6 linked regions of the Nothobranchius furzeri genome follow. The protein of the gene in region 1 purifies or fractionates together with the protein of each later gene. This does not show direct contact. Links are inferred from orthologs where the notes say so. Each region holds a gene or a part of one and is shown in the gene's direction. Other genes may lie near its edges.

Region 1 (5,160 bases):
GGGAGGGAAACCTAGAGGGCTGCAGATCTGGGGACAAATGAGGAACACAAGAAGACACGTGAGGAAGATGCAGACAAGGACAACATGAGGGCGCTAGGAGACACAATAGGAGAACCTAGAGATGGGGGAGAACACAAGGAGACACATGAGGGGAGACGCAGAAGCAGACCGTGACACTAGCCAGGCTTTTATTTTACGTAGATTCAGCTTCAACGTGTTCTGAAGGGAACCACATAGAAGAACCTGCATGTGTGGCTAAAAGGTTCATGGAGGGTGTGAGAGGAGGAGGACGTTAAAGGAGAGAGCATCGATCCTCATGGTGGAGGAGGTGGACTTGTCTGTCAGGGAGAAGATGATGCCTAGAGGAAAGGGTGAGGGATGAAGAGGAAGAAAGATGAAGGGAAAATAAGGAAATGGGAAAATAAAACAGCTGAAGGAAAAGAAAAAAATGATGTTTTACTGTGAGGAGAAAAAACATAAACCAAAAATGTGATTCATGTAAATAACCCAAAAAGAACATCTTGTTTATCTTCTACTCTCTGGTGGAGGATCCAAGTGCTGCAAGTGGGAATTTATTTACTTTTTTTTAACTAGATAAATATGTAAGTGTGCTGCTTGTCAATAAACCATTTATTTCATATAAAATTGCAATTTGGGGCTATAAGATGTTTTATCAGTGGGCTTGATAAAACATCTAGCTTCCATCCTACCACCTCACACATCACATTACATCACCTCACATCCACAATATCGCATCTCGTTATTCATATCTTGTCATGTATAAATATTAATTTTGTAAAAGAATTAAATTAATTTCATAAACTATATACCTGACTCTGTCTGAATTACAGTAATACAAAGTGTGTTTATGGTCCCTGAACAAGTAAAAGTAACTATATTCTTCTGATTAAACATTCAAAGATCAGTCAGGTTGATATTTCATATTTATATGGAATAATTTGTGTGTGTGTGTGTGTGTGTGTGTGTGTGTGTGTGTGTGTGTGTGTGTGTGTGTGTGTGTGTGTGTGTGTGTGTGTGTGTGTGTGTGTGTGTGTGTGTGTGTGTGTGTGTGTGTGTGTGTGTGTGTGTGTGTGTGTGTGTTACCGTGGTCTGGTGCCTCATATCCACACCCATCAGCGCCTCGCTAAGGAAGACGAACGTGTTTATTGCAGCTATGTAGCGAGGGTCATACAGAATTGCTTGAGCCCTCATCTGCAGCAGCAAGGACCTCAGTAAAAGGCCGAACCTGGTCCTTGGTGGGTTAGGATAAAAACAGCTGTCAGGTCAGACTATTGTGGGTTTATGGCGTCACCTTGTGGTCATCTGGGGTAACGACGTGATAATTTGCTGTCCAAAAATCACAATCTGAGAGACATCTTCAAAAATTGACTATTATTACCAGTTGATATTTAGGAGACCTGAAAAAGAAGCACTTGTTCCTCTTAAAATAATGTTTTTTTTTTGTTTTAATGTTGTATTGAAATGATAAAGGGAATGTAATGTATCGATGTGTTCTGTTTTCTGTCTTTTTCTATTTGTTTACGTGAATTCATGTTACTATTTTATTAGTAATTATAATATGATTACAGACAGGTGTAAATGTACTGTGTGTGTGTGCGTGTGTGTGTGTGTGTGTGTGTGTGTGTGTGTGTGTGTGTGTGTGTGTGTGTGTGTGTGTGTGTGTGTGTGTGTGTGTGTGTGTGTGTGTGTGTGTGTGTGTGTGTCCCAAGTATGTTTGTTTTACACTGAGTAGGAGATGCTCTGTATCTCACTTTACACCTGTATGGTGACAATAAAGGTATTCTATTCTATTCTATTCTATGTATAGAGGGTCTTTGTACATTTAAGTTTCCATCAATAATTTTAGCTTTTAGCTCAAATAAACTGTTTCCTTTTTATTGTTTGATTATTTTTTGTTTGTTTGTTTGTTAAATGAAGCGTTTTTAAAGTTTTTATTATTCTTCTTTTTTAATTCACGCAGAACTATCATTTGGCGTTTTGTTTTACCCGGTAGGAAGTGAGGTGGGACTCGGTGGAGGAAACGGCTTCTGTACTTGTTGCCACGTCGGAATTGTGAACCTTGTGAAGTTAGTCGATAGAGAACAGGGGCTTCTTGTTTACACGGTTTAGCCACAGCCATGGTGAATTTCGTCACTTTTTGTTTTAGTTTCAGCTCAAAATATTCTAGGATGTTGATTTTATGTTTACATTTTGCTGGCTAGTCTTGGTAGCTGTCAATCCATTAGCACGATCGCTAACGGCAGGAGGCTAATCTGTCTGGATATAGTTTTATATTTGCTTGATTTTGTTCTTATTTGTTTGTCAATTGCAGGTTTCCGTTATAAACACGGTGGACACTTCACACGAGGATATGATCGTAAGTGTTTATGTTTTATCCAGTTTTATTTTTATCTCTGATGCTAAAAGCTAACAGTTAGCGGCTGTAGCTTTTATCTTCATTCAGTACCACAAGTGTAAGTGTTCTGTGTAAAGCAGCAGTTTTTAATTTAAATATGTAATACTGTTGGGATGTGTGTTTTGAGAAAGGAGTAGCACATTGTTTTAATTAGTTTAGTGCTTTTAGATCGTTCAGTCAAAATGTTTGTCTTAACTGTACCAGATGCTATAGTGTAATAATTACAGAAACAGTGCTATGTGGATTATTCTGTAGTGTTGACTGTGAAAATTTGTTAAATAGTCTTTAAACTTCACTTAATCGGCGTGTTTTGCATTTTCGTTTTAGTTGTAGGGAAAATCTAGCCGAAATCATTCACGTATTCACATTCTCCCTAAAAAGATAAGATTAATCATGTTCTCAATGTTTCAATTTAAGGAAATCAAAACCAAAACAAACATTCAAATGATGCAGTTTATGCCGCACATTTGTTATGTGATGGTGAAAGATTTAAGGAATGGGTTTCAGTTTAGCACCATCAGTTCATTTATGAATAAACCAGGTGTCATGCTTCCATTGTTTGGTGCTTTTGCTGCCCCATAGAAATCCCCACCAACATTCCTGGTGTTGCTTTGTTGTCTGTTTCAGCATGATGCCCAAATGGACTATTACGGGACTCGACTCGCCACGTGTTCTTCTGACCGCACCGTTAAGATCTTTGACGTCCGCAATGGTGGACAGATCCTGGTGGCAGACCTCAGAGGGTAAGAGATCTAAGCTTTGGAATATGCACAGAAATTTACGTAAGTAGAGTTGTCAAGTGAATGTCAATACACTTCCATTTATTTCCTAAAGATTTAATCTTCACCTGTTCTGTAATGTATTTTTATTTATTTATTTGTGTGTGTGTGTGTCCTGCATCATGTAGCCACGAGGGCCCTGTGTGGCAGGTGGCGTGGGCTCATCCAATGTTCGGCAACATTCTAGCATCCTGTTCATACGACCGCAAAGTCGTCATCTGGAAGGAGGAGAACGGCACCTGGGACAAGATGTATGAGTACACTGGACACGAGTCATCAGGTAGAGTTCTCCATTATTCTAGTGCCGGGGTGTTCATTTCCAAGCCTGGAGGGCCAGTATCCATTATGTTTTAGTTTTAACTGTTTCAACACACCTGATTTCAATCAGCAGGTGATTAACAGGCTTCTGCAGAGCCAGATGAGCTGCTGCACAGGTGATTCAACCATTGAATCAGGTGTGTTAGAGCAGAGAAACTACTAAAATGTGCTGGATACCGGCCCTCCAGGACCGGAATTGAATATCCCTCTAGTGGTTTAAATGTGCTCCTCCTCCTCATTCTGCTAATCCATGTGGCCTTCTTGAAAGAAGTTCAGGTGCTAGTAATGCTGGAAGAAGTTCCGTTTTTCTTACAGATAACAAATGTTTTGATCTTAATGTTGTAATTTTATTTCTTCTTCTGCCCGACAGGTCAGTGTAATGCACCAAAGTACACGTCTTGTTTCAGATATGTTCTCTTTTTTTTTGCCAACACCTTTAGAAAAATGAAATATTCAGATTAAGTTCTGTTTCTACAACATTCTCTTTTGTTTGAGTACATTTCTTTTTCCCTTTCTAATTGATCCTTCCTTTTTAAGAAATTACAAAGAAATTCATGTTCATATATTGGGGCTGAGAGATCAGTTTGACTGAATAGTTTTCCACACAACTTGATCTCGTCCTTAACTCTGTCTCTGTGTTTGCAGTGAATTCAGTCTGCTGGGGTCCGTATGAATTTGGTCTAATCCTAGCCTGTGGCAGTTCAGATGGAGCAATTTCCCTCCTCACATTTACTGGTGATCAGCAGTGGGACGTCAAGAAGATCAGCAACGCACACACCGTGAGTTAAAAATGAAATGGTTTTCCTAAGTTGTCACCAATCTTTTAAACTTTATTCTGTCTCACCTTTTCTAATTTAGTGTTTCTGTGTCTTTTGGGGCGTGAAGTGTATCTTTAGAATAATTAAAAGCTTTATTTTTTGCTTCAGATTGGCTGTAATGCAGTGAGCTGGGCTCCTGCTGTAGTTCCAGGCAGCCTGATCAATCAGCCATCAGGTCAGAAACCAAACTACGTCAAACGCTTCGTCTCTGGCGGATGTGACAACCTGGTGAAACTCTGGAAGTAAGTTGCTGTTGAAAATCTGTCATCCTGTATGGATAAAAAAAAGAACACTTTCAACAGTGAACGTCAGATGTAGCTAATATTCTGTGGCCTGAATAATGTTCTGCCTGCAGAGAGGAAGACGGTCAGTGGAAAGAGGACCAGAAGTTGGAGGCGCACAGTGATTGGGTCAGAGACGTCGGCTGGGCTCCTTCTATTGGTCTTCCCACCAGCACCATCGCCAGCTGCTCCCAGGTCCGATTTCTTTTTTTTTCTTTTTTTTCCCCCCCGTGTCCTGTCTGGCTGTGAAGCAAACAGAATTGATGTCTGAATGCTGGTGACAAGCCTTACAGATTTACTCTCAGGTGGAGCATCAAAGCGTCTGCTTTTAATGTCACACCTGGTACTTAAAACTTTATTGTTATTGTTTTTGAATGCTTTGTAATTCCGACCAGACACGGAGTCAGAGGTGAAAGAGAAAGAAAGATACAAAAGGAAGAGAGGGGGGGCAGGTTGTATTTCTAAAGAAATCTCATGTTGAATTTTTCACCTCATCACCAGGTGGAGCCATAGATGACATGTTTCAGAAAATATTTAGAGAAATTAAA
Region 2 (5,194 bases), on another chromosome or scaffold:
TGGTGTTCTTTTTGACCAATCCACGTCTTTGAGCTGCCACTCAAAACATTTAGTAAAAAATTGCTTTTATCATTTGAGAAACATTTCCAAATTGAGAGCTTTTACTTCAAAATCGGACAAGGAGATGATTATCCATGCTTTTATTTCTTCTCGTTTAAATTATTGTAATTCTATCTTTACTTGTTTTAACAAATCAGATGTCAGCCGTCTCTAGTTGGTCCAGAACGCTGCAGCAAGGCTTTTAACAGGAACCAATAGAAGGGCTCACATAACACCAGTTTTATCTTCTTTACATTGGCCACCGGTCAAGTTTAGAATTGATTTTAAAATTTTAGTTTTGACTTTTCAAGCTCCAAAATATTTATCAGACCTTTTAATCCCTCACTCTTCTGGCCGCACTCTACGGTCCTCGGGTGAAAACCTACTGAAGGTCTCTAAGACCAGATTGAAAACTAGGGGGGACCTGTCCTTTCAAGCTGTAGCTCCCAGGCTTTGGAACGCCCTGCCCCTGTTTCTTCGTGTGGCCACTTTGTGATTTTATCTGTGAAAAGTGCTATATGAATAAAGTTTGACTTACTTACTTACTTACTTACTTGCACTTGAATACATCATATAAAGGTGTGACAAAGGGCAGCATTTCTTTCAGGCTGTCAGAAGTTCAGATGGAGGGACCGCAGTTTTAATTCTTTTCTATCCCTTTGGCCTCAGAGGGATGAGCTAAAACAACACGTCTGACCCGCTGACGCCTGGTCTCACGGCTAACAGGACATCAAAGATTTGCTGCAAAAATGTTTTGCTATTGACTCCCCCGATGGGTCGGGGCTATTCACTGTAGTACACACATTAGTCATGCGGTCAACAACACACAGTATTCACCATTTCAGTTTAGTCAGGGAATGAGAAACTAAATCATTTTATCTTGTCGTTCAGTCAAATCCCGTTTCCTCAATCCTGATCCAGTGAAAGATTCTCACCAGTATTCCTGCGGCTAACGCTGAGAACTTCGTTTCCATCATCACGCGGTGTGTAGTTTTTCCTCCATGATGATTTCCTCCTCTGCCCGGTGGCTTCATGAATCAGAGCTAACAGCAGCAGCCAGAGCCCCAGTCCTCTGCTCAGACTTCCCAGCAGCAGCATCTCAAACTCCGGCTTTGGAAGGTCTGCATGGAAAATACAAAACAAACATCCCGCTTCAGCATCTGGGCAGGTTCCCCAGGGCCCTAGTGACACTTCAAACCCCTTAGATGATGATGATGATGATGATGATGATCGTGCAGCAATAAACACTTTTACCATCATTAAATAAGTAAAATGAAAAATCAGCTTCTACCTGATTCAGATGTGATGAGTTACTGTGGCCCATGCAGACCGTGGGAGAAAGGTTCTGCGCCCCGTTTGGATCGGGTCACTAAGCCCAGACTGAGATGAGCTGATACGCTGTGGCTCAACGCCAGGACTTCCCTCAGCTATGAATGAGCAAGAGTCATTCCTTTAGAAGCCTGTCTGTAATTATTGGCTACGTAAATAAAGTTTTTTGTGTGATTTTTTTATAATGGTGATTGCAAAAGCAATAATAATGATTGTATAGTTTCTAAATCCTATGCTTAATCCAAACAACATATTTTAATTTGTATGTGGAATGGTTACCTTGCAGTGTTACAAATAATTTAATAAATAAAATAGATTATTTCAACAAATAACTTAATCTACTTTATCTAAAAATAGTTTCAAAGTTTTTCAGTAAATAAAAATCCTTAATAAGTCACACAATCTCTATCTGTTATAATGTTTTAATCCTTCCATAAGACAAATAATTATTTGGTTTGAAAAAAAAAAGAAGAAGAGGCAATTCGTTCCCTGCGCATTGCACGCCCTCTTGCGGGGAAAGTTACCTTGCGGAACTCTCTTCACTTTAATCAGTACGGAATTATTTTGGTGTTGCACACAACATCCGTATACGACATGTGTGCATCAAAACATAACTCGGTCGGCTTTTTAAAGGTTCTACATGTAAGTACTAATTTACTGTTTTTGTTAATTTTATCACTTGGTAGCGAAATCGTTTTTACTGCTGGGTAAATTAGTGAAGGAGAACCTGTTTAGCACGTCCTTCACCCGTTAGCCTTAGCTTAGGTAAGCTAGCATACAAGCAAATTTGGTACTTTTCTTTCACGAGCTTGTGCAACTTTTGGATTTTAGTAGATGGGTTGAACTTTGGGCCCACAATGATTTCTTCATTTAGATATCAGAACTTGTTAGCTAGTTAGCATCTCGTGGGTGACTCAACTGTTTGAAATCAGTTGCAAAGTTTCAGTAGTAGATGTCGGCTAACTCTTCACACGTTGACCTTAATTGATTGACTTTATGAGAGATTACTGCGGAAAAGTCTCAAGACTTCCAAATGCAATCGAATTTATCATAATCTGTGGTCATGATCAGTATGTTTTTATCTTTCTGGGTGAACACTATCTTCTTAGAATCCCAGTAATCACAAAGAAATAAAAAGAGGGTTTTAAAAATAAAATGTGTTGGAGTGAAACTATATTGAAGAACTTCAACAATGATTCTAAATCTGGTTCTTTGGTAATGAAGCCCTGACAAACAAACATGAAACATTTTGACTTCATGCTATGTTTATAAGTCACAATAAATATAAGGATCAACGCGTTTCTCATTTGTTCTATATTATTGAACCAGATTTTGATAACTTTTGAAATTATAAAATGTGATGTTGTAAAATATTACAGTAGTAAAAAATTTTACAAAATATTTAAACTCATTTTGTGTCAAAAAATAATTGATGCATGAATAATTAGCTGTCTTTAGTCATTTTGACATCTGTCCCCCTCCAGCAGAAATACATACACCATCTCATGTAGACCAGAACTGCATCATGCTGCACTGCATTATTTTTACTATTACACAATTGCCTGCTGTGAGATGACATCTACCCACTGCTGTCTGATTCACAGTCTCCCATGTCTTCTGTCATATTTCCAGATTGTTGAAAGCAGACTGTGTTGAAGCTCATTTTGCTCCTTCTGAATCATGAGTGGCTCAAAGCCGGACATCCTGTGGTCTCCTCACCACCCGGACCGCTACGTCATCTGCGACTCTGAACTAGGACTGTATCGCATTGGGCCTGTGGGTGGCACAGAAACAAAGCCTGGCACTCTGCCACTCTCCGAAGAAACTGCTGCTACTTTATTGGCTATAAACTCTGACACCCCTTATATGAAATGTGTGGCCTGGTACCCGAAGCACGAGCCTGAGTGTTTACTTGCAGTGGGACAAGCTAATGGCAGAGTTGTGCTCACCAGTTTGGGCCAGAGCCACAACTCTACATGTAAAGAGCTAGTGGGGAAAGAGTTTGTGCCCAAACATGCGCGACAATGCAACACTTTAGCCTGGAACCCTGTGGACAACAACTTACTGGCTGCAGGGCTGGACAAGCACAGGGCCGACTTCTCTGTTCTTATTTGGGATATTAGCAGTAAGTTCGCCCCAGAGACCAGCGTAGCAGCTGAGAAAATCCGTATCTCAACTGTGGATTTGGATTCAAGCATGGTAGTGACTAAGCCATTGTATGAGCTTGGCCAAAACGATGCTTGTTTGTCTCTGTGCTGGTTGTTTCGAGACCCCAAGCTGCTCTTGGCTGGTATGCACAGGAACCTTGCAATATTTGACCTGAGAAACACCAGCCAGAAGATGTTTGTCAACACCAAGGCCATCCAGGGCGTGACAGTTGACCCACACTTCCACGACCGTGTAGCCTCCTTCTTTGAGGGGCAGGTGGCTATCTGGGACTTGAGAAAATTTGAGAAGCCTGTGCTCACACTTACAGAGCAGTCTAAACCTCTTACCAAGGTATGAAGGAGCCTTTTCCTGTTTTAAAGAGACATTTATTTAATGCTTCATTCTTTAGACTGTAGCTGTGTTTTGCTGTTTCCATTCTCAGGTGGCATGGTGTCCAACTCGTACCGGCCTTCTGGCCACGCTCACGCGTGACAGCAACGTCATCCGCCTGTACGACATGCAACACACTCCTACGCCCATCGGGGATGAAACAGAGCCCACCATCATCGAGCGGAGCGTGCAGCCATGTGAAAGCCAGATTGGCAGCTTTGCCTGGCACCCCTCCTCTCAGAACCGCATGGTGGTGGTGTCCGCGACCAACCGAGTCATGACTGATTTCACCGTGTTCGAGCGCATCTCTCTGGCCTGGAGCTCCACCACATCACTCATGTGGGCGTGTGGGAGACACTTATACGACTGCGCCGAGGATTCGGCCGAAGGAGCGGAGAGCACCGTTGAGAAAGACATCGCCACTAAGATGAGGGAGCGAGCTCAGTCCAGGTACGGACACGACACTCTGCAGGTGTGGAGAAACCACCTGCTGGCTGGAGGGAATGACCCCCAGCTCAAGTCCTTGTGGTACGATCTGTCCTATATCCTTTATGGTGATGAAGTGACAGAAATACTTGTGAGTAAAGGTAGAGCTTTTGAAGTAGCAAATCAACTTCCAAAAGTTTTAAAGCATTTTATGAAGACCGAGTTCAGAGAGACGCCGTTTTTCCTTGTCGTTTTTAAATATGGTCAGTCACTGAGTTTCACATGAAGGCTAAATGTGGAAATGATCTAACAGAATAGAATACAATAAGACTTTATTGTAATTGCTTCATGAGCAACTAAATTGCAGGTGGTCCACCCACAACTTTACTCAGAACACACAGGACATGAAATGTACACAGAACATATACACAGGATAATGTGCTAATTAATTCTATATTTCATGTAGGAGTCCCAGTTTATGGTTCTGGTTGGGGGGGTTTCAGTGGTTGATGCTATTTGATCTGCGTATGGCCGAGGGGAAGAAGCTGTTGGTGAGCCTAGTGGTGTGCCATCTGATTGACCTGTAGCACCGTCCCAAGGTCCATTTCCTTCATTAGCTGCCAATAGAAAATAGATGGGAAAACTCGGGTTAGAAAAGCCTGACGTTTCCACGTCAGACTGTAAATTTGCATTTTGGCTCATGACAGGGAAGGCTATTGTTGGTTTACCGTCCAGCAGAGCACATCTCAGCTAGTAGAAGCTAATCGTCAGCATTAGCAACTCCACCACACTGCAGAACTACATCAGCCTTGTGTTGTTTGTGGAGATAAAACAACCTCGCAGATCAGAGCCATTGGTAGAG
Region 3 (5,237 bases), on another chromosome or scaffold:
TACGCCCAGCCCAAAACGAAGAACCACAGCTTCCCGGTAATTAAAGAATTAGTAGTGAATCGGTTTCCGGTAGTAGCTGCCCAATCTTCGGCCGCTGTTAGCTCGCATTCAGTGCGGCTGCTTAGATCGCCATCTCGGCCTACTCTTAACGGAAACACGCCGCTAGCTCCTCCTACACGGTGTAGCTGTCGTCCTTGGGTGGCTAAAAAGAGCACAATGTGTTTTGTTTTGTTTTAATTTGCTGCTGTGAGATATCTGTGTAGGATTCACAGCACTTCTTCAAGTCTGGAAAGTAAGTCTGTTGACACAGAATCGTCATCTCACCATTTCTGAAACAGCAGCGACCAACAGGCGAGGACGCGCGGGAGGCATCATATTTCTGGGAAAAAAACGCGTCTCGCTCTTTGGGGAGCGCGCACGCACACTCACGCACTGTGTACGTCATCGCCCCGGCTGCCGGTGAATTTGGCAAGCTGTTTTAACATTTAATATAATTACATTTAAAAAGTAATTTGAACGTCAGTGTAAATATTTCTGTCAAAATGACAATCTGAATTATAAAATCAAAACCAATGATAACCAAAACTGTCACAATATTAAAATTGTGTCTCAAGTTTTCCATAACTGAGACTTTGTCAGGGAAAACAAACTTTTGAAGCAAATTATGTCAGCTTTCCATTAATTTATATTAGGTTATCCCCTTCAGATGTGGCAAACATATCTGTCCATGTCTTTGTCTAGTTCATATTTCCACTGCACAAGTGAGTTGACATTTGAGTTCATCTTTTTAAATGGCACTTTGGTCACAAATAGCATTTTACTTCTACACTGTGCATAGAAATGAGTAACATGTCATAACATTTGACATTGTTTTATTAAATTGTTCTGCATTTCTACTGCATTACTGTTCTTTTTAACACAGCAAGTGTTATTTTACCTTGTTTTTGCATCAGGTAACAACATCGAGTAACAACATCAGGTAATAACATCAAGTAACAACATCAAGTAACTACACCATATAACAACATCCGGTAACAACATCGGGTAACAACATCAGGTAACAACATTAAGTAACAACATCAAATAATAACATCATGTAACAACATCTGGTAACAACATAATGTAACATCATCATGTAACAACATCTGGTAACAACATCAGGTAACATCATCATGTAACAATATCAAGTAACAACATCAGGTAACAACATAATGTAACATCATCATGTAACAACATCAAGTAACAACATCAGGTAACAACATAATGTAACATCATCAGGTAACAACATCAAATAACATCACGTAACATCATGTAACATCATCAGGTACCAGCATCAGGTAACATCAGGTGACATTAAGTAACAACATTATACAACATCTTGTAACAACATCAGGTAACAACATTATGTACTATCATCATGCAATAACATCAGGTACCAACATCAAGTAACATCATGTAACAAAATCAAGTAACAACATCATGTCTGAACATCAGGTAACAACGTCATGTAACAACATATAGTCATGTAACAACATATACTACAACAGCAACAACAACCACAGACTAAAGGCTATTCATTTTACTACGAACAAGTGAATTCTGGATTTTTGTTTGAAAGTTCGTGTCCAACTATTATATGATACATCTGCTTGCCAACTATGTTGTTGGTGGCGCTACTGTGACCCACTGCAGTTTAGTCAACGTTAAATTGTTGGTGTTCAAAGATCGTTCTGGGACATAATATGAGATAATTTTGATATTTTGAACAGACCCGTCCCCGCGGAGGCCGTGTGTTGGTGTGACCTGACGGAGGTCATGATGGATTAGGGCGGTTTGAACTGAGACTTTGGTGCTGCTACAGTTAGTTAGCAAAACAACTTAGCTAGACGTTTTGACTCTGCCCTGCAGGTATAATGCAAATTCTTGCCAAGTTCTTGTGTGTGTGTCGCTTCTTGTTTTGTCTCCCTCTGGCCTACAGGCCGCTTTTGTAGCTGCTGTTTTCTGAAGTTGTGTGGCGTTGGCGTTAGCCGTCAGCTGTTGTTCAGTGCTGCTTTTAGCTCATGTGTAGCTATAGTTATTGCCTCCCAGTGGTGGAAAAAGTGTTAGGATCTTTTCACGGTAAGTTTCATCACCACGATCAAATAAAAATCCTGGTTCTAACTAAATGTACTTGTAGTTTCAAACATGGGTTTTTGTTTGACAAATACGTTTGTTTTATTCTTTTTTTTTTTGTCTGGTTTTAATCAACATATCAGCTTTTAAATACCTAAGGATGGATAATACCTGTTTGTGGACTCTTCCACTGACAGATGTGACATTATTTGATGTCTTTCCTTGTTTTTTTCTTCCAAAACAAAACAACAAACCAATACACACACATCTAATGATTTCTACAGATTCATCAAAAATGTTTTTTCAGTAGTCATGATGGTTCCTGAATAATCTTTAACTAATGAGCCAATGCTAAAGTTTTTATTATTATTATTAATCCAATAATCCGGTGCTTCCTGTCTCTGTTCCTGTTCCCAGATGGCATTGTGGTCTGCAAGAATTCCGTTTATTTGTCTTGATGTATTTATTTTAGGTTCCTGTGGGAGTTTGAGATCTATGACGGATCCTCCAAACAGCATGGCTCCCAAAGACATCATGACAAATTCCCATGCTAAATCCATCCTCAATGCAATGAATTCACTCCGCAAGAGTAACACACTCTGCGACATCACTCTGAGGGTGGACAACGCGGATTTTCCTGCTCACCGGATCGTCTTGGCTGCTTGCAGCGACTACTTTTGTGCCATGTTCACCAGTGAGGTAGAACTTTCTTTTCAGGACTAAAATGTACAAAACAGTTTTTTTTTTAAATATTCACAATTTGGGGGCATTTCCCCTGTTTGGGTTAACTATTACTTGTAACTTAAATGGATGTGTGTGGATTTTATACTGGATGTACAACAAATTTTTCAAATCATTTGATGGGAAATAAAAAGAAAACCTAAATTTATTTTAGGAAGAGGTTCTGTTAAGTACAGTTGTATTGTAGGAACACATGAGTTCATCCCAACATTTGAGACTTTATTTAATATTTACATAATATTAGTTTTACTTCCAACATGCTTCATAAGTAAGAGATGCTGCAGAACAGCACCCTCAGCATCCATGTGTTATTCTGACATGAGATCTTTCAAATCCAACAGATCTTTTTACTTAGTGAGTAAATAACAGAAGTCTACATTTTACCGTTGTGTGTGAGCCAAACAAAACAAAACTTCGGACGTTTGGAAGCCGCACAATGACAGGCCTACAAATATGGTTTCATTTGCAGGTCTTTTAATAATGGTTTATTTTGTTATTTAATGCTTTCACTGGGGATAAAGCTTGTTTTGTTGCTATAACAGGCTGAAATATGTAGACATTTTGACCTGGAACAGCTTGCTCCAATGTGTTAAGACAGTTATTTCTAACTCACAACCAGAGAGGGCTACTTCATCAGAAATCAGGTCAGTCTTGCTTGCAACTGATTCAAAAGTAAACAGCACATCAATAAGTTTTAATCATCCAAGAGTCACAGCAATGCTACTAAATGAAGAAAACGGGCGTAACACAGGAATTTCTCCCATTTTCATCGTATTCATCTTATCTGGAGAAAACAAAGCTTACGTTCTTTAGATAATAAGTTGTTGTCATCATTAGAAAATGAGCACAGCACTTTTTCAGATAACTGAACAGTCGACTCTTGATCTGAAGGAAATCCCATCAGACCTAAAAATAGCTGCTATCTGCTTCCATGCTAAGTGTTTAACTTTTCATGAAGCTGCATTTGCAACCATTGCATCTAACTGAATGAAAACACTGTTTGCTGCTCCATTTATAAACGTTTTTACCAGCTGATGTTAATAGATTCTGTTTTACTTGGATCCATCTCTTAGTTAACAAGATACTTTAATTATTCTGCTCCAACCTGGAGGGAGTGTTTCACCTTTATACGGTTGAGAACAATGACATCGGTCTTAGAGGAGCTGATTCTCATCCCAGCCCTCGGCCCCCAGCTGTGAAGCATGCTAGTGCACGCTAAAGATCATAGCCTGAAGATGCTAACAGAACCACATCATCTGCTGTCACCTAAAGCAGAGATGAGACCCAAACCACTCGACTGCGATGTGAGCTTCCGTTCATGAAGATTGCTGACAGGATCAGACACCAGTCCTGGTGGAGTCTAGCTACTCAGGCAGCGAGTCTTTATCATGCTGCATCATCAGAGATCCTGCTGCAGGGTGTCATTCAGGACGTGCCTTTTATTGGCAGGTTTGATAACTTGTTTTCAGAGCTGTCAGCTTGTGGGTGGATTGTTCAGACTAACACTGGACCTAAAAATCCCTCCTAGACACATTTGAACATACTAACTGTTGCAGGATGGATCTCTCCTCAGAGACAGTGTTTGTTTAACGGAAACCCTTTTGCCCCTCTAAATGCCGATATAATTACAGGGCATAAATATCCTTGTAAGGGAACAAAATCAGAAAAATGCATCTGGAGTTTTTTTTCTCTCTTTTCTACCTTAGAGCAGGGACTCCCTAAGTGTGGTGCGCGAGCTGCCGCTAGGGGGTGCGCGAGGTGAAAAGTGTAATGGCTGCGGAGCTCAGAGAAGTCTGTCATATGTCACCATTAGCGTAGCCAGAAACTCCTTTGTGGGTGGGCCCAATAAATGTAATTGGAAAACAAGTATATTTTGCTTGTGTGTGTGTGTGTGTCCTCCGCATGTGCCCTAGCTTCATAATAATGCGCCGAGTTTCAGCGCTCTGGCTTGCGCACGCTGTCAACAGCAGGATATGTTCAGTATTTGATCATTTTTAACGGTGTTGGAGGAATCTGAAGGTGGTGAGTCATTCTGGCAGATTGTAATTAACACCTGTCTCATGCAGGTGTTCTGAAGTTGTAAACCTCACACACACACAGAACATTGTAGATGTAACAGAATAAATCAAGAAATGATTCCCATCTGAGCATTTTAGCATTATTATATTATTATATTAGCACACTGACTGTGGGACAGCATTCTAAATGTGTCAGGCTGTTAACAGCACGCTGAAGGTCTGAAGTTCAGAGTGCGTCTGTCAGAGGTCAGACGCGTTCCAGCGGAACCACGGCTCACGGGTGCACATGTGAGCACATCTGGGCTGGGCAGAAGTAATTTTACAACATTGGTTTGAATAGCACCAATAACGAGACGCGGTGACTGG
Region 4 (4,606 bases), on another chromosome or scaffold:
AAAAGTCTTAAATTTGGCTCCCTTAAACCTGCAGATAACCTGGTAATGTGTCGGTGGGATTAAAGAGATTCGTTAGATTATTTAATCACAATTTATTCTCTCAGTTTTGTAATCTCGTCAGCAACAACTTCAATTTAACGTTTTTATAGAGGTCACACGTGTGTGTAAGTTCTCTTCAAGGCCGCTGAAGGTCACGCAGGTGACATACGAACAGGTGAACCCCTAAAAAACCGTTTCAATCAGAACTCCTCTGCAGTGGATCAGCTCTTTATCCTGGCTAGGGGGCGGGGGTGCACACGTGGTCATTTTCTCTAGTCCTGATTTGAGTCGTCAGCTTCAGCTCCACCGTTTGGACCTGTGAGTGCTGAGCAGTGGCCGGATTTGCTCTGTTCTCCTAGGGTGGGAGCTTCATCGTGGCATCAGTCAGGAGTCAGCTGCTGAGAGTGAGCGCAGATTCCTCCGGGAAGCTTCAGTGTCGAGCTCTGCAGCAGGGTCAGGGTGTGCTCTCTGGCATCGGCCGCCGTGTCTCCAGCTTGTTCGGCATCCTCTCTCCACCAGCCGATGACGTGGTGAGTTACGTTAGATCCTCCGTACACTCTGGGTAAGTTCCCTTCCTGGGTCATTGCCCAGAATCTCTCAGAGACATTATTATTAATGTCTGAGCATCAGACCGACCCAACAGTAAAGTCGGCTGCAGCATTGAAAGTGTCTCCTTTCCTGAATGTCCTTCTCTCAGCTCCACAGCGTTGTGTGGGTGGGGAGAACCAGCTGCTTGTACACCCTGACCTCCTCCAGGCTGAGTAAGTGGGAGGTGGACGACAGCTCGGAGCACCAGATCCTCAGCTGGGACACCTGCAAAGCTCTAAACGAGAGCATTGTTGAGTCCATTTGGGTCAGTACCAAAGCAGCAGCCGTGCTACACCATCCCAGGTGTTTGTCGTCAGTGTCCTACGATCTACTGTAGTGCTAGCGTAAAGGACATGGGGGGGGGGGCTGATATTCACACAATAGATGTGGTGGAAGGTTTGACATCTGTCATGTCGTCACAAAATACAAACGCATCTTTGTGTTCATTAAAGAGCAAGTCACCCCCTACCTGAGTATTACTCCGCTCCCACTTCCTGTTTGAAAAATACAACAAATGCTGTTTGCTAGCAGACCGAGGGGGCGGAGCCGCTAACAAATACACACACAGGCTCACAACGACATTGTGACATCATATGGTACTAGCTAAAGTTCTAGGGTACCTCTTAGCCAATAGCAGTGGCAGATTTAAATTCAAATGCAGTGCAGAGTTTTTACCTGACGACGGCACAACACTGACAGTTTCAGGCAGAAAATTTAAAGTTTAACTAAAATGCTCTGAAGTGCAAAACTGTTGACTGCACATGTCTGCAGCACGATCAGACACACTTTTATGTAGTTTATCAAAAAAAAGGTGATTTTGGGGGCGACTTAAGCGCTGACAAACTGTGGTGGTAGACGTGTCTCACGTCTACACGATTCCACCAAGTCTGTCCACTCTGACTGACACGGAGATCTCTCTCTCTCTCCAGGGTTCAGAGAGCAGCTACGGTGGCTTGAAGAGCGGGGCAAACGTTGCATACCTGGACATGAAGTTAAGCCAGTGAGTGTGTGTGTGATATTTACGTACTTCCTTCCTGTACTCGGGGTATCCGCGGGTCCTTAAAAAGTCTTAAATGAGCTTTTCCTGTTTCCATGTTCAGCCTGTATGGAGAAACTCCGAGTAACCGATTATAATCAGAAACAAGAAGTACAGTGATGCCTCGTTTATCGCGGTAGATGCGTTCCAGACCTGGCCGCGATAGGTGAAAATCCGCCAAGTAGGGACACCATATTTACAGTACAGTACTTTATTGAATTATTGTATGATCACATTCTCTTTTTGTGGGTAAAACTCAAGAAAAACATTTTTTTACTTGGTTTTTTTATAGTTTTATTACAAAAAGTGCATTTTATGATGTAATTGATGAAAAAAAAAACAGGAATTTCTTGATATTTCGCATATAAAAATACCGCAAATCGGAAAATTTCCCTTGAATAAGGCTCCAAAGAAAAAATCCGCGAAGTCGTGAATCCGCGATAAACGACCCGCGAAGTAGCGAGGGATCACTGTAAAAATGTTTTTTCAGGGAACCACGCCTTCAATGTTTTTGACAGTTGACTGCTCAACCTACGACCACACGTTTTGGACGCCGAGCGCTTCAGCGTGGTGCGTGGAAGGGTCAGGGGAGCATTAAAGTCACGAGAGTAGACATCTAAAGGGAACTTCTGTACAGGGAGTGAGCGGGACGGTATTTGTGTGTAGACAAGCAGACTACATGCCATGTCGAGCAACCCGCTGAAGACTTCTGCTCAGTTGCTGGGACCAGCAGCTGTCCTCATGTTCATGTCCTGAAACGTTCTCCTAGCATCACCACTGCTGAGGTGTCCGATACAAACAGCTGCTGGTCTTGGACTCGTCCATCTCCAGCCGAGCAGGTTGAGGACAGAATCAGCGTGACGGTGTGTGTGTCGTGTGCAGCCCGTCAGACTCTGTGCTGTGTGTGTGTTCTAAGGTCTGGCCTGGTGGTTTTGGCTGCAGCCTGGCACCCGTCGGACACCCCGTGCCTGGCTTACTTCTGTCTCGCCACCCTGCATGACGATGGGTCCACCATTTCTGACCAGTTTACCGTCCAGGTGACCAAGTACAGCTGTGTATTCCAGGTCAGTGTCTGTTGAAAGAACGATTCCTATTTCGTCCAACAGGCCAGAATCTCACTTACTGGACTCGTGGATTCATTTTGCTGCTCAGCTCACGAAGAAGAAGAAGAAGAAAATGTGGAAAGTTCAGGATTTTGTCCACCATCACTACTGGATCCAAACTTCTAGAGTAGTTGGTTTGAAACAGTTTAAGGTGTTGTAACCTCAGCTACCAAGACATTGGGAAGCAATGCATCTGAATACACTCTTGAAAGTAGCTTGTGTCCTTCCTGGAGCAGCTTCAAACCAACAGAGTTGACCTTTTATTTATGAGTGATTGTAGGTAAGAACCTGCAGGGGTGACTGCTTATCGAGAGGTTTGCTTCAGCACCCTGCAGAGACAGGAACACGGTTTCATGCTGCTGTTGTTCATTTAAACTCACTTTCTCTAAGAATTCGGTCATGTACAGCAACATTTGACAGGGTGTGTTGTTTATTGTAATTGTCTCCGTTTTGATCAGCTGCCTGGTTTTTCCAGACTAAGGAGGCTCTGCAGGCTACACGCCTGCTGTTGCCCTGGTCCCCCAGCGCCACCGCCTTCCTGTACAACGAGGAGTTGGTGTTTGCTTGTTCGACGGGCACCAGCAGGGCAACGCTGCCAGATGAGAAAATCAACTTTACCTCACCAGGTGAGAGAGGGCAGCAGCCATGATTTTTACCTGCCATTTCATCTCAGACAGCGATTGTTACATGAGGCCGCACGCTGTTAGGAAAACGCACGCCTGTCTCATTATCAGTAAATATTAATAATGAACGGTAGGATTTTGGCCTGTGATATAGAATTACTTAAAGAGCAAGTCACCCCCTGCCAGATTCTTACTCAACTCCCTCTTCATGTTTGAAAAATGCAACAAATGCTGTTGCCTTGCAGACCGAGAGGGCGGAGCCGCAAACCAATACACACACAGGCTCACAACCACATTGTGACATCATAAGGACCAGTTTACATCATAGTATACCTCTTAGCCAATAGCAGTGGCAGATTTAGGCCCTGTCCACACGTAGCCGGGGATCTGCCAAAACATAGATATTTTTCTACGTTTTGGCCTGTCATCCACACGAAAACGGAGTTTTTTCACACGAAAACGGATCTTTTTAAAAACTCCGGCCAAAGTGAAGATCTGCGTTTTCTCCGTTTTGGGTGTCTGCGTGTGGACGGACAAAACCGGAGTTTTAAGGTCCGCAACGTCACTTTCCGCGACAAAAACATGCTGACATCACGTGTGCGACCTGTGTTTACACTAGCCGACATCATGGATGCCCTCAGAGCTGCGCTCGCTTTATCAATTGTCCAAGCGCTTTCTGCTTGTTTGTTTTTGCAAGCGGAATTACTGCTCCTTGCGGAAGACCACAGACGAAGGACGAGGTTAAGAACGGGGGAAGTACTGCCGCCTACAGGTCTGGCATGTCCTTAACAACGTATTTATCCTGGTACGTGTGGACAGGTTTTTTGGAGGGGCGGATATTCGTTTAAAAAAAACCCGGCTACGTGTGGACTAGGCCTTAAATTCAAATGCAGTGCAGAGTTTTTACCTGACGACGGCACAACACTGACAGTTTTAGGCAGAATATTTAAATTTTAACTAAGATGCACTGAAGTACCAAATTATTGACCACACGTGTCTGCAGCACGATTAGACACGCGTTTATGTAGTTTATCAGCAAAAAAAAGTTGATTTGGGGGGGTGACTTGCTCTTTAATACCGGCTAACTGGATGCACTTGCTGATTGTGAGTTTGTGGAATGGTGCGATAGCAACTGTCTGGATTTAAATGTCACAGAAACAGATTTTAGACGTTCCACACCGTCTCTCCCCGGCAGTAGCGTCATGCATGGCAGTGTG
Region 5 (3,277 bases), on another chromosome or scaffold:
ATAAGTAGTAATTAAACTTGTGGTGTTTGAATTAGAGGATTTATTTGGTTTCAAACAGTCAAGGTCAAGGATTATAGCCATAACTGTTTTCAAAGTTGGATGCTATTTTTAGTAGTTTGCTCCAAATTCCTGCCTTTCTTATTAATTAAAAGCAAGCAAAATTTTTTGGGGGGCTTTCCAGCCAAAAGCAGTTCACACATCAACTCGAATCGATCCTTCAGATGACCGATTATGAGTCCTGCTTCCTGCTTTTTTCATAATAACGCCCCATGTGGCGTATAGCCTCTAGAATCTGTAATCATCATGCAAACTAAAGCGTTTTCATGTTGTTCATTGTTTTAGGAACCCCGTTAGCTGCAGCGAGCTGCTGCTATTCTTCCTGTGGACCTATTCATACAACTTCAAAAACAATGTTTACATCAAATAGATAAAAAGACATAAATAAATAAATAAAAACACTAAAAATACAGAAGCAAGTCCACCCCACCAAATCAACATTGATGACCTTAACAGATATAATTTTACCATCCCAAGGCTTCCATTATATTATACACTTACTTTTCATACCATATCACAACACAATTAACCCTTTAAAAAAATTTTTTTAATTAAATAATATCTAAATAATAAGTTCTCTTTCTACACACAACACAAATGTTCTTCTAATCTAACTCCAAATACATTTTTACCCCTAATATGTGAGATTTCTTTTGGGAGATGGTTCCACTCGTACATCCCTCCATACATTGCTGTATGCTTTAAAGCATCAGATCTTTTGGTCATGTAAATTCATCTTCTAAGGCATGTCTTGTATCATACAAGTGCTTATCTTTACTAAATTCCAGAGACGTATATAAAATAGATGGCATCTTTGTCTTCCTAAGCTTCCAAATAAAAAGAAGCAGAGCTGATTTACTTCTCGTGTGTCTGAATCCATGTCGGCAGGTTGTGGGACCTGGAAGGGAATGAGACGTGTGTTCTGCGACTTCGCTCTCCGGGCGTCAGTGTGTGCTGGCATCCAGAGGAAATCTGTAAGGTAGGAGGGACTTATTCAGTCCTTGTTGCTTATCATTCCATCCATCCATCCATCTACTTATCCGGAGTCGGGTCGCGGGGGCGGTTGCCTAAGGCGAGAGGCCCAGACTTCCCTCTCCCCAGCCACTTGGGCCAGCCCCTCCGGGGCAATCCCAAGGCGTTCCCTGGCCAGGTGGAGACATAGTCCCTCCACTGTGTCCTGGGTCTACCTTTAGGTCTCCTCCCGGTTGGACGTGCCTGGAAAACCTCACCAGGGAGGTGTCCAGGAGGCATCCTGACCAGATGCCCGAACCACCTCAACTGGCTCCTCTTGATTTGGAGGAGCAGCGGGTCTACTCTGAGCCCCTCCCGAATGACCGAGCTTCTCACCCTATCTCTAAGGGAGGGCCCAGCCACTCTGTTGAGAAAACTCATTTCAGCCACTTGTATCCGTGATCTCGTTCTTTTGGTCACTACCCAAAGCTCATGACCATAGGTGAGAGTAGGAACGTAGATCGACCGGTAAATCGAGAGCTTCGCCTTCTGACTCAGCTCTCTCTTCACCACGACAGACCGGTACAACGCCCGAATCACTGCAGATGCAGCACCGATCCGCCTATCGATCTCACGCTCCAGTTTTCCCTCACTCGTGAACAAGACCCCGAGATACTTAACTCATTCACTGCAAGCCGTTTCCTGATCGCTAACGGCCTTCGCTGCCAGCGTTTCTCACCGTTTTTACTGTTTTTTTAAGAGTCACAGAACGTTGCGCGCTAGCATGATGTCGATGCCAAAACAACCAAAACAAAGAGGAGACTCACCTCTTACATCAGGAAGAAGCCGCGTGTTTGGAGCGTTATCCGTTCTTTCATAATCCGTTGTTGAATTGTGATCGGCAGATGCTTCTCCGGTTCGCGCCTCACTTTTTTTACAGGAACGGCCCAAAACGATCTCCAAACACATGGATGGTCTGCTTCCTGATCATGTGATCTGTGACGTATGCGGATGAAGATCGGCTTCAGGGCTGAGATGCTTGTTCTATCAGCGCGGGGACTCGTTCCAATGCTCAAACAGTAAAAAAAATGCAAATGACGACTTTAGTCGTCATTGGCAGTGAACGGTTGGATCTAAAATGACGACTTTAGTCGTCAATGGCAGTGAATGAGTTAAACTCCTCCACTTGGGGCAGGACCTCATCCCTGACCCGGAGAAGGCATTCTACCCTTTTCCGAATCAAGACCAGTAAAATACAGTAAATACTGCTTTACACAATAATTACATTTTTTTACAATTATACACTTGAATTACACAATAATACACTTAAACTTACTATGTAATTACCATGTAAGTACTTAGTAATTAGGGGACTGTAAAAGGAAGCGTTACCGAAATCTCACCTAAGGAACGGCCGTGGTCTGCTTCCACAAACGGACGCAGAACGGTTTGAGAAGGAAAGGGCTGGAACGTTTGGGTCAAAGAAGAATATTTAAACGGTGCAGACGCGAGTGCTCCAGCCCTTTTCTTCTTCTTCGCAAACGTTATTTTTTCATTTGTGTTTCTATTTTCGTTTTCATCTCATTGTCATACTCATCTATTTTCATTATGGCACCGCTTCTTAGAGGACCAGCGGATCATTACTTCTCTATAAGTTGTTCCTGATGTGTTTCCACCACTCAGTGCTTCCATTCACCAGAGTTTTGTGTTCTGATGGCATATCTTCATCAGTTAATGGTGGCAGAGAAGAAGGGGACGATTCGATTTTATGACCTGGTCACCCAGCAGGCCATCCTGTCACTGGACTCTGGACACTGTGGACCGCTGATGTCTGCCGACTGGTGCCTCACCAACACGATCAAAGTCGGCGGCGTGGCAGGCACCGACTGGCTCGTCTGGGACATAACGCGCTCCAGGTTAGAGGCGGTTTGCTGCTTGATGCGTGTTGTGGAATACATCCCCTCATGTGTTGTTGTTTGCAGTTACCCTCAAGAGAAACGGCCAGCCCACAAAGACAAAGCCCGACTATTCAAGTAAGTCTATAAACGTTCTGTTTCTGTTTTCTTAAACAGTTGTTAAAAATGCACTCTTTTCTCAAGGTGGTCTCTTGCTAATGAGAACCTCTTTGCAACCACCGGCCTTCCTGGTAAAATCAACACGCAGGTATTCATCCACCATCTTGGCCACCCTCAGGTGGGTGCAGTCTTCTCTAGGGCTGTCACGGTGTGAAAATTTAACCTCGCGGTTATTGTGACCAAAATTATCACGG
Region 6 (4,606 bases), on another chromosome or scaffold:
TGAATCAATAGGTCACACCAAAGCCAGCCTGAACAGATGAGTTTTCAGAGTTTTGGTATATACAGTCCATGGTTTTCAGCTACTTTTTAAAAGAGACCACTGAGTCCACAGATCAGGCTCGGGGAGAGAGTTCCAGAGTCTGGCAGCCACAGCAGCAAATGATCTGTTACCTGCAGACTTTGATCACTGGACCTCAGGGACATGGTGAGGGTGCGGGGACTGAGAAGATCACCAATGTATGATGGTGCTTGTCCGTGAAAGGCCCTAGAAACCAGGATCTTGAAATGAACCCTGCAGGGTGATGTGGGTGTACTTTGACAATTTGAAGCCTAGCACAGGTATTCTGAACCACCTGCAGACGGTTCAGGGAGGTTTTGCTCAGATAAGTGAAAAGCCAGTTGCAATAGTCTAAGCGTGAGGATATTCCTGAGATGGAAGAAGGAAGAGTGAACAAAGAACTGACATGAGAATCCAGGGTGAGGGCTGGGTCAAAGGTCACACCAAGATTCCTGACAGAGGGTTTGGTGTGAGAAGCAAGCTGATCAAGAGACTGACTTTGGGAACCAGCTTGTCTGGGGCACAGATGAGGATCTCAGTCTTATCTTCATTCAGCTGTAGAAAGCTCCCAGCCATCCAGGTTTTAATAGAGTCTAAGCAGGTGTGTAACAGCTGCAGCTTACACCTCTCATGGAGCTTAAAGGAGATGTGCAGTTGGATGTCATCTGCATAAAGATGGTAGGAGACTCCTTAAAAGGAGCCCAGAATGTGCTGAAGAGGAAGCAGATAGAGGAGGAAGAGTAGAGGCCCCAGCACAGAGCCTTGTGGGACACCATGAGTGAGGGAGGTGGTGGAGGACCGAAACTTGGAGAGAACCACAGAGAAGAAATGCTCAGACAGTTAAGAGGACAACCACTCCAGAGCAGATCCTGATAGGCCTACCTAGTCTCTCAGTCTATCCAGTAGCAGGTGATGGTAAAGAAGGTTACTTTAAAGCAGGGGTGTCAAAGATGCGGCCCACGGGCCGGATCCAGCCCGCAAGTGGGTTAAATCCGGCCCGTGAGATGGTTGTGTAAACTTTATTTTCATACGTTACAATGTAGAGTGAAAATAAACTCATCTTTGTGAGCAAGTTTTCTCTGTAATGAGTATAAATAAAACAAAGCTGCGCTCAAGGCTCACACAAGAACTTGAATCACAACCTGAAGTTGGCTGCCACTCCTGAGTGGTAGCCATGTGACTTCTGATATTGATGTGCTGGTGAAAGCTAAAAGATGTAATGTAAAATGAGTCAAATATACTTTAAGTGCTGCATAAAACTGATCTAGCCATGTGATCTGTAAGCTCTTTGAATCACTAAGGAATGTTTTTTTAATTTATTGATTTTTTTTCTTCAAAATTTCAAGTACACTTCAGGTGTTGTACTTGTACTATTTTGGATACACTGTCCTCAGGCTTCATCCTTGTTTTATATTGATTGTATTAAAACAAAGAAAACAATCTGAAGTTGTTTTTAATTTACCGGTCCGGCCCACTTGGGACTAGATTTCCCTCAATGTGGCCCCTGAGCTAAAATGAGTTTGACACCCCTGGTTTAAAGACTGAGACCCACTGCACTGAGAAACAAGGATTTTGCATCATGATTATCTCTCAGTGTTACCTTTTCACGTTTGCCCTTGCCAAATAAAGCTTCCTTCAGAGTTAAATGAACGTTCATATTTTAAAGATCCTCTTCCCAGCATGCCTGGTGCATTTTTTTACTGATAAATTGAATGGTGCCTGAACAGTTCAAAGATGGTGTTGATCAAAAAGAGCTCTCGTTTATCGCTCAGAGTGAGACCTCTGCCTTTTTCCTGCTTCACGTCTTGACGTGGCGCCGGCGGACGCCATGTTGTTTTGCTTCGTTGTCACCAGAGCTGCGCCCTGCTCGGAGCTTCGGAGTGGCTGTGAGTATTTACCTGTATGATCCTCAGGTGTGTCCGCCGGACCCGCAGCTCCACCTGGACTATGTCAGGTGTGTGCTCTGGAGTCACGACCTGCGTGACATTAGCGAAGCTGCGTTTAGTTCGTGGAACATGAGCGAACAGTTAGCGATAAACAAGCAGAGCCAGACAAACGTGGCGACGGTACAGTTCGTAAAGAAGTTCAACAGTTTGTCTTCATGACGCAGCATGGCTGCATCTCACGTTAAAGGCTGTGGGCTCACTAGGAGAAGTCTTGTGGTCACGTCCAGGTAAGACTGGACACCAGACAGGACCAGGTGTCTGTGAGCATCTGTCCAGTAGAGACCTGGACCTGGACTCTGAGGAGACCTGGACCCTGCCACCAGGTCCAGAGCCCCCCGGACCACCCAGACTCGGACTGCAGCTAACAACTGGATTAACCAGCCACTCTAAACGATTAGTTTCCTTCCTGTAAACTAGCGGGTTTTGTGTAGCTGTTTATTTGTTTACTGTAGTTTAGTTATAACCACAACATTAATGATCGTTTTTATACTTCAGTTACGAAACATCAAAACCAGAAACGGGTTCATTTGTGTTTCAAGAGTTTTTCATTACAAACTGGGTTTATTAGACATTTAAATGTTGTTTATTCCGTCATTAATCTAATCAGCACCACCAAGTGTTCTAAAAGCAGCAGTCAAGGCGGCCCAACATGGGCCAGAAGGACTGTGAGGAGGTGGTCACCTTGAGCTGCAGGGATGTTCTCCATGAGCCACATGGAGATGACATCAGTGAGTGTGTGACTGATTATATGTACGTCATCAGCGAGGTGCTTCCCCAGTAAGGAACCCTGGATCACCGCTGACCTGAAGTAAAAGGGCGTTATTGAGGAATTTACTAAAACAGCTCAGAGTCGAGGTGAGAAAAAACCAGGAGGTGTGCAGGAAACAACTGGGAATCCAGTTCCAGCTGTTGCATCTTCCACTTGGTCATGAATCCTACTGCTCCATTTGTTGTCAGCCACATCAGGAGATACTGGTGCTCCCCTTACACCACCCCATCCAGCCAAATCTTAATTCACCTATTTTAAGTGACACACACACACACACACACTTCTAACGGTTCCTTTCTTTTGCCCTTCACCGTCCTACTCACCTTTGCATTAGGGCTGCACCATATTAGGAAAACCTGCGATAACGATGATTGATACTGCGATGACGATATTACTTGCAATAAATAAAAACGTAACTCAAAAAATGGCAAAAAATTCCTAAAAATGAAAAAAGCTAAAGATGCGAGGAAAGGAAAAAAAATGAACAAGAAAAAGCAATCTGTGAATCCCGGGAAAAGCAGAATCGGCAGAAAGAGCAGAACAAAGCTAACTCAGGTGTTTGCTAACCATCAAAGTGAAGTGCCGTCCGCCTCGGGGGCGGGCGTCTGACCTATGAGAACCCACCCAATTGGCCAGATGGGTGAAGAGCTCTATTAGATTTGTTAAAAAAACATCATGCTTCAGTTTGATTGACGGAATGTGTAGCAAACATTTGAGTGATTTAACATTTTGACTTTATGGGTTCTCCTCTGTAAAGAATCACCACTCTTAGCCTGGACCACACTGTGTTTTCAGCTGTAGCACAGGACTGGTTCTTGTCACACTGTGAGGACTCTAGAGAGGTGGACCGCTGTAGCAGAACACGCTAACGAGCGTCTTCGCCGGAAAGCGTCTGTCACTAAAAGCTGATGGAGACCCAAGACAACGACGAAAAGAGAAAACAGAACCACTGTTAACACTTTTTATTAGACTCTAAACTGATCTCCAGAAAAGTCCACGTGCTCCTGAGTGTAGCCTCCACTGGTGCTAATTTCACTCGTGTTGTCCTCTCATCACCAGCTGTTCGCGTCGTCCCCTGGGGGTATTTTCATTGGTCGATTACAGAGCAGGGTCATAGATCTTCAGACACTGCTTGGAGACAGTTGGAGGCTAGTCTGTTCAAGATGAGGGACTTGTCTAGGATAGCCGAAAGCACGCGGTGTGGTCCAGGCATTACCAGACGATTAGTGTTTGCTATTGTTCTGTTGCTCTCTGACGTCCCCTCTCCTCTCTCTCTCTCTCTCTCTCTCTCTCATAAAGCTTTCACCTGACAGAGTGACACCTGTGGCGCACCCACCTGTTCTGTCATGGCCACCTTCTCAGAATACATTGCCCAAAATGAGGAGCGTGATGGTGTTCGGTTCAGCTGGAACGTGTGGCCTTCCAGCCGGTTGGAGGCCACCCGAATGGTGGTACCAGTGGCTTCTCTCCTCACACCGCTGAAGGAGAGAACCGACCTCCCCCCAATTCAGTATGAACCAGTTCTCTGCAGCCGAGCCACGTGCCGTGCAGTTCTCAATCCGCTCTGGTAGGCGTCACTCCTCTCGTTGTTGTCCAGCTCCCACCAGTTCACTAGCTGTTGGTCTTATTTCTGTCTGCCTCTGTGGTTCAGCCAGGTGGACTACAGAGCCAAGCTGTGGGCATGTAACTTCTGCTACCAGAGAAACCAGGTGAGTGGCGTGTCCTCCACTGGCTGGATGGGAGACCATGTTGCAGACACACTAACTCCATCTGTCTTGTCCAGTTCCCTCCATCCTACGCTGGGATATCGGAGGTGAACCAGCCCGCTGAGCTG

The links.
Region 2: the proteins of sec13 (region 1) and mios purify together in Homo sapiens (affinity purification with mass spectrometry; 5 studies listed by BioGRID and IntAct, counting the BioPlex papers as one, with this or other methods). This does not show direct contact. The link is inferred for Nothobranchius furzeri from reciprocal best matches to the Homo sapiens genes SEC13 and MIOS.
Region 3: the proteins of sec13 (region 1) and kelch-like protein 12 purify together in Homo sapiens (affinity purification with mass spectrometry; 3 studies listed by BioGRID and IntAct, with this or other methods). This does not show direct contact. The link is inferred for Nothobranchius furzeri from reciprocal best matches to the Homo sapiens genes SEC13 and KLHL12.
Region 4: the proteins of sec13 (region 1) and nup133 purify together in Homo sapiens (affinity purification with mass spectrometry; 4 studies listed by BioGRID and IntAct, counting the BioPlex papers as one, with this or other methods). This does not show direct contact. The link is inferred for Nothobranchius furzeri from reciprocal best matches to the Homo sapiens genes SEC13 and NUP133.
Region 5: the proteins of sec13 (region 1) and nup37 purify together in Homo sapiens (affinity purification with mass spectrometry; 5 studies listed by BioGRID and IntAct, counting the BioPlex papers as one, with this or other methods). This does not show direct contact. The link is inferred for Nothobranchius furzeri from reciprocal best matches to the Homo sapiens genes SEC13 and NUP37.
Region 6: the proteins of sec13 (region 1) and sec23a fractionate together in Homo sapiens (co-fractionation; 3 studies listed by BioGRID and IntAct, with this or other methods). This does not show direct contact. The link is inferred for Nothobranchius furzeri from reciprocal best matches to the Homo sapiens genes SEC13 and SEC23A.

The regions. Positions count from the first base shown.
Region 1 is NC_091743.1:73,558,474-73,563,633, reverse strand, and holds the start of sec13 (protein SEC13 homolog), read left to right. Parts: upstream 1-2,008; 5' UTR 2,009-2,138; coding exon 2,139-2,141; intron 2,142-2,332; coding exon 2,333-2,377; intron 2,378-3,043; coding exon 3,044-3,159; intron 3,160-3,323; coding exon 3,324-3,475; intron 3,476-4,158; coding exon 4,159-4,292; intron 4,293-4,439; coding exon 4,440-4,573; intron 4,574-4,686; coding exon 4,687-4,807; intron 4,808-5,160. UniProt on the Homo sapiens protein: Functions as a component of the nuclear pore complex (NPC) and the COPII coat. At the endoplasmic reticulum, SEC13 is involved in the biogenesis of COPII-coated vesicles.
Region 2 is NC_091745.1:63,836,210-63,841,403, forward strand, and holds the start of mios (GATOR2 complex protein MIOS), read left to right. Parts: upstream 1-1,918; 5' UTR 1,919-2,010; intron 2,011-3,000; 5' UTR 3,001-3,048; coding exon 3,049-3,867; intron 3,868-3,958; coding exon 3,959-4,448; intron 4,449-5,194. Other genes in the region: col28a1b (collagen, type XXVIII, alpha 1b), read right to left, coding at 975-1,137. UniProt on the Homo sapiens protein: As a component of the GATOR2 complex, functions as an activator of the amino acid-sensing branch of the mTORC1 signaling pathway. The GATOR2 complex indirectly activates mTORC1 through the inhibition of the GATOR1 subcomplex.
Region 3 is NC_091755.1:52,045,198-52,050,434, reverse strand, and holds the start of kelch-like protein 12, read left to right. Parts: upstream 1-1,832; 5' UTR 1,833-1,908; exon of another isoform or gene 1,909-1,978; 5' UTR 1,979-2,060; coding exon 2,061-2,118; intron 2,119-2,584; coding exon 2,585-2,811; intron 2,812-5,237. UniProt on the Homo sapiens protein: Substrate-specific adapter of a BCR (BTB-CUL3-RBX1) E3 ubiquitin ligase complex that acts as a negative regulator of Wnt signaling pathway and ER-Golgi transport.
Region 4 is NC_091747.1:67,787,034-67,791,639, reverse strand, and holds part of nup133 (nuclear pore complex protein Nup133), read left to right. Parts: intron 1-398; coding exon 399-569; intron 570-736; coding exon 737-892; intron 893-1,556; coding exon 1,557-1,627; intron 1,628-2,579; coding exon 2,580-2,727; intron 2,728-3,241; coding exon 3,242-3,392; intron 3,393-4,606. UniProt on the Homo sapiens protein: Involved in poly(A)+ RNA transport. Involved in nephrogenesis.
Region 5 is NC_091741.1:39,610,478-39,613,754, reverse strand, and holds part of nup37 (nucleoporin Nup37), read left to right. Parts: intron 1-945; coding exon 946-1,036; intron 1,037-2,739; coding exon 2,740-2,924; intron 2,925-2,990; coding exon 2,991-3,041; intron 3,042-3,107; coding exon 3,108-3,201; intron 3,202-3,277. UniProt on the Homo sapiens protein: Component of the Nup107-160 subcomplex of the nuclear pore complex (NPC). The Nup107-160 subcomplex is required for the assembly of a functional NPC.
Region 6 is NC_091758.1:16,454,781-16,459,386, reverse strand, and holds part of sec23a (protein transport protein Sec23A), read left to right. Parts: intron 1-1,852; exon of another isoform or gene 1,853-2,011; intron 2,012-2,093; exon of another isoform or gene 2,094-2,230; intron 2,231-4,071; 5' UTR 4,072-4,118; coding exon 4,119-4,339; intron 4,340-4,423; coding exon 4,424-4,481; intron 4,482-4,555; coding exon 4,556-4,606.